Linked DNA regions of Macaca mulatta. The protein of the gene in region 3 interacts with the protein of the main gene of each other region in a biochemical or structural test. Links are inferred from orthologs where the notes say so. Each region holds a gene or a part of one and is shown on either strand. Other genes may lie near its edges.

Evidence for each region.
Region 1: the proteins of NUP98 (region 3) and NUP88 form a complex in vitro, tested with the Homo sapiens proteins (2 studies listed by BioGRID). The link is inferred for Macaca mulatta from reciprocal best matches to the Homo sapiens genes NUP98 and NUP88.
Region 2: the proteins of NUP98 (region 3) and KPNB1 form a complex in vitro, tested with the Homo sapiens proteins (3 studies listed by BioGRID). The link is inferred for Macaca mulatta from reciprocal best matches to the Homo sapiens genes NUP98 and KPNB1.

What each region holds. Positions count from the first base shown.
Region 1 is NC_133421.1:6,911,484-6,914,983, reverse strand, and holds part of NUP88 (nuclear pore complex protein Nup88), read left to right. Parts: intron 1-937; coding exon 938-1,063; intron 1,064-3,500. UniProt on the Homo sapiens protein: Component of nuclear pore complex.
Region 2 is NC_133421.1:62,351,647-62,353,910, forward strand, and holds part of KPNB1 (importin subunit beta-1), read right to left. Parts: intron 1,068-2,264; coding exon 953-1,067; intron 580-952; coding exon 418-579; intron 1-417.
Region 3 is NC_133419.1:72,131,707-72,135,206, forward strand, and holds part of NUP98 (nuclear pore complex protein Nup98-Nup96), read left to right. Parts: intron 1-454; exon of another isoform or gene 455-1,609; intron 1,610-1,743; exon of another isoform or gene 1,744-1,889; intron 1,890-2,298; coding exon 2,299-2,410; intron 2,411-2,537; coding exon 2,538-2,755; 3' UTR 2,756-3,500. UniProt on the Homo sapiens protein: Plays a role in the nuclear pore complex (NPC) assembly and/or maintenance. NUP98 and NUP96 are involved in the bidirectional transport across the NPC. May anchor NUP153 and TPR to the NPC.

The sequences.
Region 1 (3,500 bases), on a different chromosome or scaffold from region 3:
GTGGAGACGAGGTTTCACTTTGTTGACTAGGCTGATCTCAAACTCCTGACCTCAGGTGATCCACCCATCTTGGCCTCCCAAAGTGCTAAGATAAGTGTGAGCCATCGCACCCAGCCAATGCGCTATAATTTAGAAGATATTTTTATTTCAATTCTTTGATATTGTTTGAATAGATGCCTTGAATGCCCTCTCAGCATGATTTCAGGGAGATACATTTGAAGGAAAGAGAAGCAAAGAGTGTTAAAATAGAAATTCCTTTAGGGCCTTTTACGGTGGCTCACACCTGTAATTCCAGCACTTTGGGAGGCCGAGGCGGGCAGATCACCTGAGATCGGGAGTTTGAGACCAGCCTGACCAATGGCGAAACCCCCTCTCTACTGAAAACAAACAATTAGCCGGGCGTGATGGCAGGTGCCTGTAATTCCAGCTATTCGGGAGGCTGAGGCAGGAGAATCGCTTGAACCCAGTAGACGGAGGTTGCAGTGAGCCAAGATTGTGCCATTAAACTCTAGCCTGGACAACAAGAGAGAAACTCCATCTCAAAAAAAAAAAAAGAAGTTCCTTTAGAAGATTTTTCATCGGCCGGGCGCGGTGGCTCAAGCCTGTAATCCCAGCACTTTGGGAGGCCGAGACGGGTGGATCATGAGGTCAGGAGATCGAGACCATCCTGGCTAACACGGTGAAACCCCGTCTCTACTAAAAAATACAAAAAAAACTAGCCGGGTGAGGTGGCGGGTGCCTGTAGTCCCAGCTACTCGGGAGGCTGAGGCAGGAGAATGGCGTGGACCCGGGAGGCGGAGCTTGCAATGAGCTGAGATCCGGCCACTGCACTCCAGCCTGGGAGACAGAGCAAGACTCCGTCTCAAAAAAAAAAAAAAAAAAGATTTTTCATCAAAGTTGTATAAAATGTTTTGGAAAATTATTATCTTTATTTTAGTACCACTCCAGTTGCTGAGAGATTTTTCACCAGTTCTACCTCTCTGACTCTAAAGCATGCTGCATGGTATCCAAGTGAAATACTGGATCCCCACATAGTGCTGTTAACATCAGACAACGTAATAAGGTAAATTTTATTTTTCTCTCTCTTGAAGCCTTGCAAGTGGGAAAGCTCTGTTTCTGTTTGCCAGTTAACAGCTCAACATAGAACAAAGTGAGTCATTGAATGAGTCTGCTTTTATCTGATGGCTGTTGTAACCCATTCTCAATCATAAGAATCACCTAACTGCCCTAACTTACGTGCCTTACTTACCACTATTCCTTCTCAACGAGTCTTCCTGCCTCCAAGTATCTCCTTTCCTAATCTGACACATTAGAATAATCTTTCCAAAACTCTTTCATCATGTCACCTTTTGGTGATAATGTAGCATAAAAGAAAGAGAATATAAGTATAAATTCAGAGATTTGAATTCTTGTCCCACCTCCTCTTCTGTTATCTTTGAGATCTTGAGCTTCTTTTTAGGGATGGGGGTGGCTCAGTTTCCAATCTTTTAAGTTGAGCAGGTTTGATTCAATAGTTTCTAAAGCCTCTTCTAAGCTTTGCACTCTATTATTAAATGCCCTAATGCTATGTAGATTTCTACTATATTATCAGTTAACTTTCTGGATCGTTAATTGGGAGGACTCAGCAGAAGTACAGATACCTTCAGTTTTATTTTTCTTAATCACTGCTTTTAACTGTGCTCTACTAAATCTTCCTTCACTGCTGAACGGCTCCCCCCTTAATGGTGTCTTGTACAGATCCCCATAGCTTTCTTGTTACTTCTTGTTATGAAAACAGTGTGTCCAGTTTAAAACTCTAATCTTGGCCAGTTGCAGTGGCTCACACCTGTAATCCCAGCATTTTGGGAGGCCGAGGTGGGAGGATCACTTGAGCCCCTGAGTTTGAGACCAATGTGGGCAACGCAGTGAGATCCTGTCTCTGCAGAAAAATTAGCTGGGCATAATGGCATGTGCCGGTAGTCCTAGCTACTCAGGAGACTGAGATAGGAAGATTGCTTGAGCCCAGGAGTTTGAGGCTGCAGTGAGCCATGATCATACCACTGGGTAACAGAGTGAAACCCTGTCTAAAGAAAATAAAAATTTCAAAAGCTATTTGATCTCAAATCTATTTCACAACTATGTCCTGGCCCTTTTGTAGGTCAGACCTGTGTTTTGTGGGATCAGAAGCGATTGGAGAGTGTGCGGTCTGCTCTTTCACTCTTCCTCTTATCCCAGCACTTTGGAGCATAGGGTGAAGTGTAAGGAATGGGCTGCCTCCTCCTTCCTCCAAATCTAACTCCTTCAGTGTGGGGTAGGGGAGTGGGATAGGTGAGGTAGAGATCTTACCAAACTGGTAGTGATGGGGAAGTATGCCTGATCTTGTTTTAATCTCGTTCCATCTGTCACCAGTGAACTCCGCTGATGTGGTAGTCTCTGTATAGATGGGGGTGTGTGTGTGTGTGTGTGTGTGTGTGTGTGTGTGTGTGTGTGTGTGTGTGTGTTGGAGGGCAGTGTTGAACTTCCAGCTCTCCCCATCACTGAGGAGCTCTGGCTCCCATTGGCTCCTGTCAGTTCTCTATGCCCTGAATCCTCTCTCAAGATGGGGTACAGTATACCTTATCTGCAGGGTGTATATTCCAAGACCCCCCAGTGAATGCCTGAAACTGTAGATGGTACTGAACGTGATATGTGTGTATTGCTATGTTTTTTCGATCTAATAACTGAGACAGCTACTAAGTGACTAAGGGGCATTCAGCTAGGAAATGCACCAGTCTCCCTTGTTACAGGTACCTCCACATCTGGCTCTTTCCTAGAGCCTTCCCTGCCCACCCGTTTGGCTTTGGAGTTCAGGGCAGAGAAAGAGGGGAGGGAAAATCTTCCCAGCACAAACATTATACTGTACTCCGAAGGACTCTTTGACATCCTCTCTTCTTAGTCTTCCTTTTATATCCTATGATGGAAAAGGAGATGGTGGGAAGATAACGTAGGTACAGTTCTTAAGCCCCAGAGGAAGTGTCTGGCCCCAGATATTGAAGGTTCTTTTTTAAAATATGTGGTACTTAACACTTCTGTTTTCCTAAGCTTTGGAGATTTTGGGCAATTTCAGAGCAAAAGGAAATTTTCACCGAATGCCCTGTTACACTTTCTTTTTCTTTCACTGTTCCCCAATACAACATTATTGTCTAGTATTTATGTGTATTTTCAAGTTAGTAACGCTTGTAGGAACCTAGGAAGACTGTAATAAATGTGTATTCAAATGGATCAAATTATCATGAAAAACATTTATTAACTACTTAATGTGGCATTTTATTGATATTAGAAGAAACCAAGTTTAAAAATTCTTAGTGGCGTCAGACAAAATAAGTGATTGTAAGGGACTTTGGATTTCTAAAATGACATTACTGGCCTTTTGAAAATTCTTTCCCTTTTTCACAATAGCCTTATATGCTGTGAAATATAGGTTACTTTAAAATAATTTTGGTTAAAAAAAATCAGTATCATACTTTACCTTGAGAAAATAG
Region 2 (2,264 bases), on a different chromosome or scaffold from region 3:
AAAAAGAAAAAACACACACACACAAAAACAAAGTAGGAGCCAGACAACTTTGACTTTGGAAATCTTCTCTAGAGCTAGAAAACGTCTAAAAGCACTGCTGTAAAGAAAGAAAAGAATGGAAAGGAATAGAAAACAGAAGAGAATTAGGGGGAAATGACATTACTGATGATTTTATTAGGACCCAAAATACTCTGGTAATTTCAGTGAATTCCAGTTATAAAAGTTCTGCTCTCCATCACTATGAGGAGTCAAACATTTGGCTCAAGGAAAAACTGAGGTTGCCTGACTCAGAAGCACCTACACGGGAAACAGTACAAACAAAAAAATGCCAGAAGGCAGTGCTTGCCAGAATGGCCTGAAGAAAATATACCTCCCTCCTCCAAGAAGTAGAAGAGGACAGTGGAGGCAAGATCTTACCAAGCTTGGTTCTTCAGTTTCCTCAGTTCTTTTGTTGCCCATGTAGCAAGGGTTTTTGCTTTGTTAGTCTTCGATCTCCGCCCTTCAGTTAACAATTCATGGATCATTGGCCTAGCTTCTACTAATTTCAGTACATCCTTCCCAAATGCTGTACATAAGTCCCTGTGCAAAACAAACACAGCTGAGAATGAGCTCCTGGCCCCATACCAATATCATGTTTTGAGCCTTCCAAACCAGTGCTATGGGTTTCTTAGCATAATTCAAAGATAAATAAAACCCTCAGTAGAGTTCACTAAACAGAGGCAATTTGTTGACCAACATCAGAGTTTATTGGGGTGTAATACAGAGACCTTGAGGGTCTGGAATAAACTATCATGTGAACACTCAAAACAGGACATGAAGGGTTCTACAAAGAAATCTCTATGCCAAAGAAGTGAATTGTTGCCATCTGCGATACTCTCAAAACTCCTTACTCCATGTTTCTCATTTTCCATGAGAAGTTCTATTCAGCTCTTAGAAGCAGGGTATAACTTACCCTATTAGTCCGGCAGCACAAGCTACTACTCCATCTGTATGATCCTCATCTCCAGCAATGTGGTCAATGAAAGACAGAATAAATTCTACTCTGGGTTGTACCAGCATCACATCCGCTATAAAAGAAAGAGAAGGTATTGGTCAGGCGCGGTGGCTCACACCTGTAATCCCAGCACTCTGGGAGGCTGAGGCGTGTGGATCACGAGGTCAGGAGATCGAGACTATCCTGGCTAACATGGTGAAACCATGACTCCACTAAAAATACAAAAAAATTAGCTGGGTGTGGTGGCGGATGCCTGTAGTCCCAGCTACTCGGGAGGCTGAGGCAGGAGAATGGCGTGAACCCGGAAGGCGAAGCTTGCAGTGAGCCGAGACTGCGCCACTACATGCCAGCCTGGGCGACAGAGCGAGACTCCATCTCAAAAAAAGAAAAAAAAAAAAAAAAGAGACGGTCTGATGCACCTGTCCCTCATATGGCAGGACTACATCCTTTTTCAAAATTTCCAACTATTATACCCCTATCATACAAGGTCCAAGCTGGATAACTAAATGCATATAGTTATATCAAATTATTCTTCCTTTGACTAATGTGTCATTCCTCAAGTCGACAGAAGAGACAAATATTCCTCTTCCTATAGGCAAATATAGAAGAAACAAATGTAACTTTTTCCTTAGCTATTGATACCAGAGGGGCGAAGTAAAAAAATTTCCCCAATCAGCAACAAGAACAAGTGACAGGAATTCTGACTCCCCAATCCTCCAATTTAGCTTGTGAGGATGGGAAGCGGGTAGGGGACCTGCCACTCATGGTTGATACAGAAAGCACTTATGTTGGGTTTCTTCCCCCCAACACTTTTGCAGAATCCCATCCCTTGCAAAACTCAAGAAATATGAGAAAAAGAAGCAGAGGGCTGGGTGCAGTGGCTCACGCCTGTAATCCCATCACTTTGGGAGCCCAAGGTAGGAGACTACCTGAGTTCAGGGGTTCGAGAGCAACCTGCACAACATGGTGAAATCCCATCTGTACTAAAATACAAAAGAAAAAAAAAATTAGCTGGGCATGGTGGTGCGTGCCTATAGTCCCACCTACTCAGGAGGCTGAGGCATAAGAATCGCTTGAACTCGGGAGGTGAAGATTGCAGTGAGCTATGATCACGCCACTGCACTCCAGCTTGGGTGATAGAGTAAGACCGTCTCCAAAAAAATAAAAAGAATAAATAAAAAAAATTAAAAAGGCTAGGCACAGTGGCTCAGGCCTGTAATCCCAGCCCTTTGGGAGACCGAGGCAGACAGATCACTTGAGGTCAGGAGTT
Region 3 (3,500 bases):
TCTGAATGAGAAAGGTGAGTGGGGTAGACAGTAGTACAAATTACAGCTCATATCTGACAGATTTTCACAAAGATTAAACCAAATCTACATAAAGTGTTTAACGTAGTACCTTTCATGTACTAAATGCTTTTTTTTTTTTTTTTTTTTGAGGCAGAGTTTTTTTTTTTTTTTTTTTTTTTGAGACGGAGTCTCGCTCTGCTGCCCAGGCTGGAATGCAGTGGCCGGATCTCAGCTCACTGCAAGCTCCGCCTCCCGGGTTCACGCCATTCTCCTGCCTCAGCCTCCCGAGTAGCTGGGACTACAGGCGCCTGCCACCTCGCCCGGCTAGTTTTTTGTATTTTTTTTTTAGTAGAGACGGGCTTTCACCGTGTCAGCCAGGATGGTCTCGATCTCCTGACCTTGTGATCCGCCCGTCTCGGCCTCCCAAAGTGCTGGGATTACAGGCTTGAGCCACCGCGCCCGGCTGAGGCAGAGTTTTGCTCTGTCACCCAGGCTGGAGGGCAGTGGCACAATCTCAGCTCACTGCATCGTTCATCTCCCAGCTTCAAACAATTCTGCCTCAGCCTCCCCAGTAGCTGGGATTACAGGCTACAGGCGTGTGCCACCATGCCCAGCCTTTTTTTTTTTTTTTTTTAGTAGAGACAGGGTTTCACCATGTTGGCCAGTCTGGTCTCAAACTCCTGACCTTAGCCTCTACTAAATGCTTAATAATTTTTACCTATTATTATCCTCATCAAAGTTCCAACTCCTAGTACAGCGCCTGACACATAATAGGCATAATTCAATGTTTGCTGTACTTTTCATGTGAATCAAGAGCATCATTTCTAAATAATCATTTGAAGAAACCACTTTCTCATTGAATATTGAGTAATTCACACAACTATTATGGAGAACTCACTGTGTGCCAAGCACTGTAGTGGGTTTGGGGAATATAAAAGTAAACAGTATGTGTTCTGCCCTTACCAAAATAATGATTTCGTGGGGGAGATATATACAAGTAAAGCAGCAGTTACTGTAGCTTCATAAGTATAGGGGTTAAGCAAAGAGAACTATCAATGTGCCAGCACATAGCTGGATGTGGTGGTGCGTGACTGTAATCCTAGCACTTTGGGAGGCTGAGGCAGGAGGGTTGCTTGAGACCAGCCTGAGCAACATAGCGAGAGCCCCCCTTTAAAAAAAAAAAAGCCTGTGTTACATAAAACCTCTCTAGTATTGGTTTGTTCTGCTTTTCCCCCTTACCCCACATGTCACCATGTAAATCTCCTTTGAATTCTCACCTTTGGGAGTTTTAGCTGTCTTCTCTTTGCCTGGAAAGCTGAGCTCTCTCCTTGTAATTCAGGTCTCGACTTAAATATGACCTCCTTGAAGAAGCCTCTCTTGGTCCTCCAGTCTCAAGTAGCTATCCAGTTTCTCTCTGCAACATCCACCTGTTTAAATTATCTACATGGCTTGTGATTTTTCAGGATGTATTACTGTTTTATGTTTTCTTATTTAGTTTCTGTCAGTTTCATGAGAGCAAATAATTTGTCTTGCTCTTGATCCTCCTGCTGCCTGCACCCAGCTTTTTTGGTGTTTTAGAAAAGGCTAGGCCAGGCGCGGTGGCTCAAGCCTGTAATCCCAGCACTTTGGGAGGCCGAGACGGGCGGATCACGAGGTCAGGAGATCGAGACCATCCTGGCTAACACAGTGAAACCCCGTCTCTACTAAAAATACAAAAACTTAGCCGGGCGAGGTGGCAGGCGCCTGTAGTCCCAGCTACTTGGGAGGCTGAGGCAGGAGAATGGCGTGAACCCGGGAGGCAGAGCTTGCAGTGAGCTGAGATCCCGCCACTGCACTCCAGCCTGGGTGACAGAGCGAGACTCCGTCTCAAAAAAAAAAAAAATAGAAAAGGCTATAAACTTGGAGTCAGGGGACCTAAATTAAATGTTGGTTCAGGCTGCATTTTTTACTTCCTGTGTGCTCTTAAGAAGTCATACCATCTCTCTGAACCCAGTTTATCTTGATTTTTGGTGCTGTATTATTAAAGCTTGCTGTATTATTAAAGCTTGCTGTATCTTTCGGGATCTCAAGACTTTCCTAGTCCAAGGCTGTGTACACTATGTTACCTTCCTCTTGTCTGTTACTGCATAATTAGTGCCTTGTCCTCCACTAGATGGTGGTGGCTTGACCCTGTGTCATCTTCTTGGATTTTCCCCTCCCTCACCTCACTGTTGTTTCAAGGTTTTGTATAGAGTCTATAGGTGGTGTTGAGTGATAGGAACTCCCCTTGGATTAATTGACTTCTCTGCTTCTTTGTAGGTGGATTGCTCAGGTTATGACCTGGAGCAGTTACACATCAAAGTGACTTCACTGTGCAGTCGCATAGAGCAGATTCAGTGTTACAATGCTAAAGATCGCCTAGCTCAGTCAGGTAAGCCTCTAATCTCCTCACTTTTTCTGCCTTCTTGCTTCCTGTTTTTATCTTACACCCCACCCTCAGTGCCTGCCACCGTTCTCTAGACCCATGCTCAGTGCTTAACTCTAGTTTTTCTCTCTAGACATGGCCAAACGTGTAGCCAACCTGCTGCGGGTGGTGCTGAGTCTGCATCATGCTCCTGATAGAACCTCCGACTCAACACCAGACCCTCAGCGAGTCCCTTTGCGCCTCTTGGCTCCCCACATTGGCCGGCTCCCCATGCCTGAGGACTATGCCATGGACGAACTGCGCAGCCTTACCCAGTCCTATCTGCGAGAACTCGCTGTTGGGAGCCTGTGAGCCCCAGACTCTTTGCATCACACTCACATGCCCGTTCACACTCACCACACAGAGGTTCCCTGCCTTGTTTGGATTGGCACTGTTTGCCATTCTCTGGGTTGGCTATGGCATCTGCCCTCCTTCCCTGCTGCCACAAGCAGCATCCTCCAGTTGTTCAGGGCTTTTCTTAATACTAAACATAGCATAAGGGCTTCTGGAACCCAGAAGAGGAGACAATTCTCTTTTTACCATCCTCAAGACCAGTGTTTTTCCTTTTAATAAATGGTCAATAAAGCTCCTTTGGCAGAATCCCCCAAAGAACCAGGGAATCCTTTTTCACCCCTAGCCATTCTGGATCTTGTGACCCTCCATGCCAACCAGCTACCCTACTCCTACCCTGGCCCTTTTATGCTAGGACTCCTTAGGAGGAGTGAGACAGGTAGTAATGGATCCTTAACAGGTGAACTATCCACAGAAGGAAGAGGGATCCGTCTCTTAAGTAATTGGTTAGTTAACACTGAATTTTGGAGGCAGAGGAGGGTTGGCCTGAGTTAGGAAACAGAATGGGATCTTTCTGACACACTTAGGGCAGAAGTGAATGCCTGCCATGGAGGGATTGATCTTCAGAGCTTCTTTTGTTCCTGCCTTTAGTGTTCCATGAACACCATACCTTTGCTACTACTATGTGCAGGAGCCCTTGGTCATATGTGACATGTCTATGGGAAGCTCCCAGAATTTGGTTTGGTCCCTGGTTTTCAGTCATCTT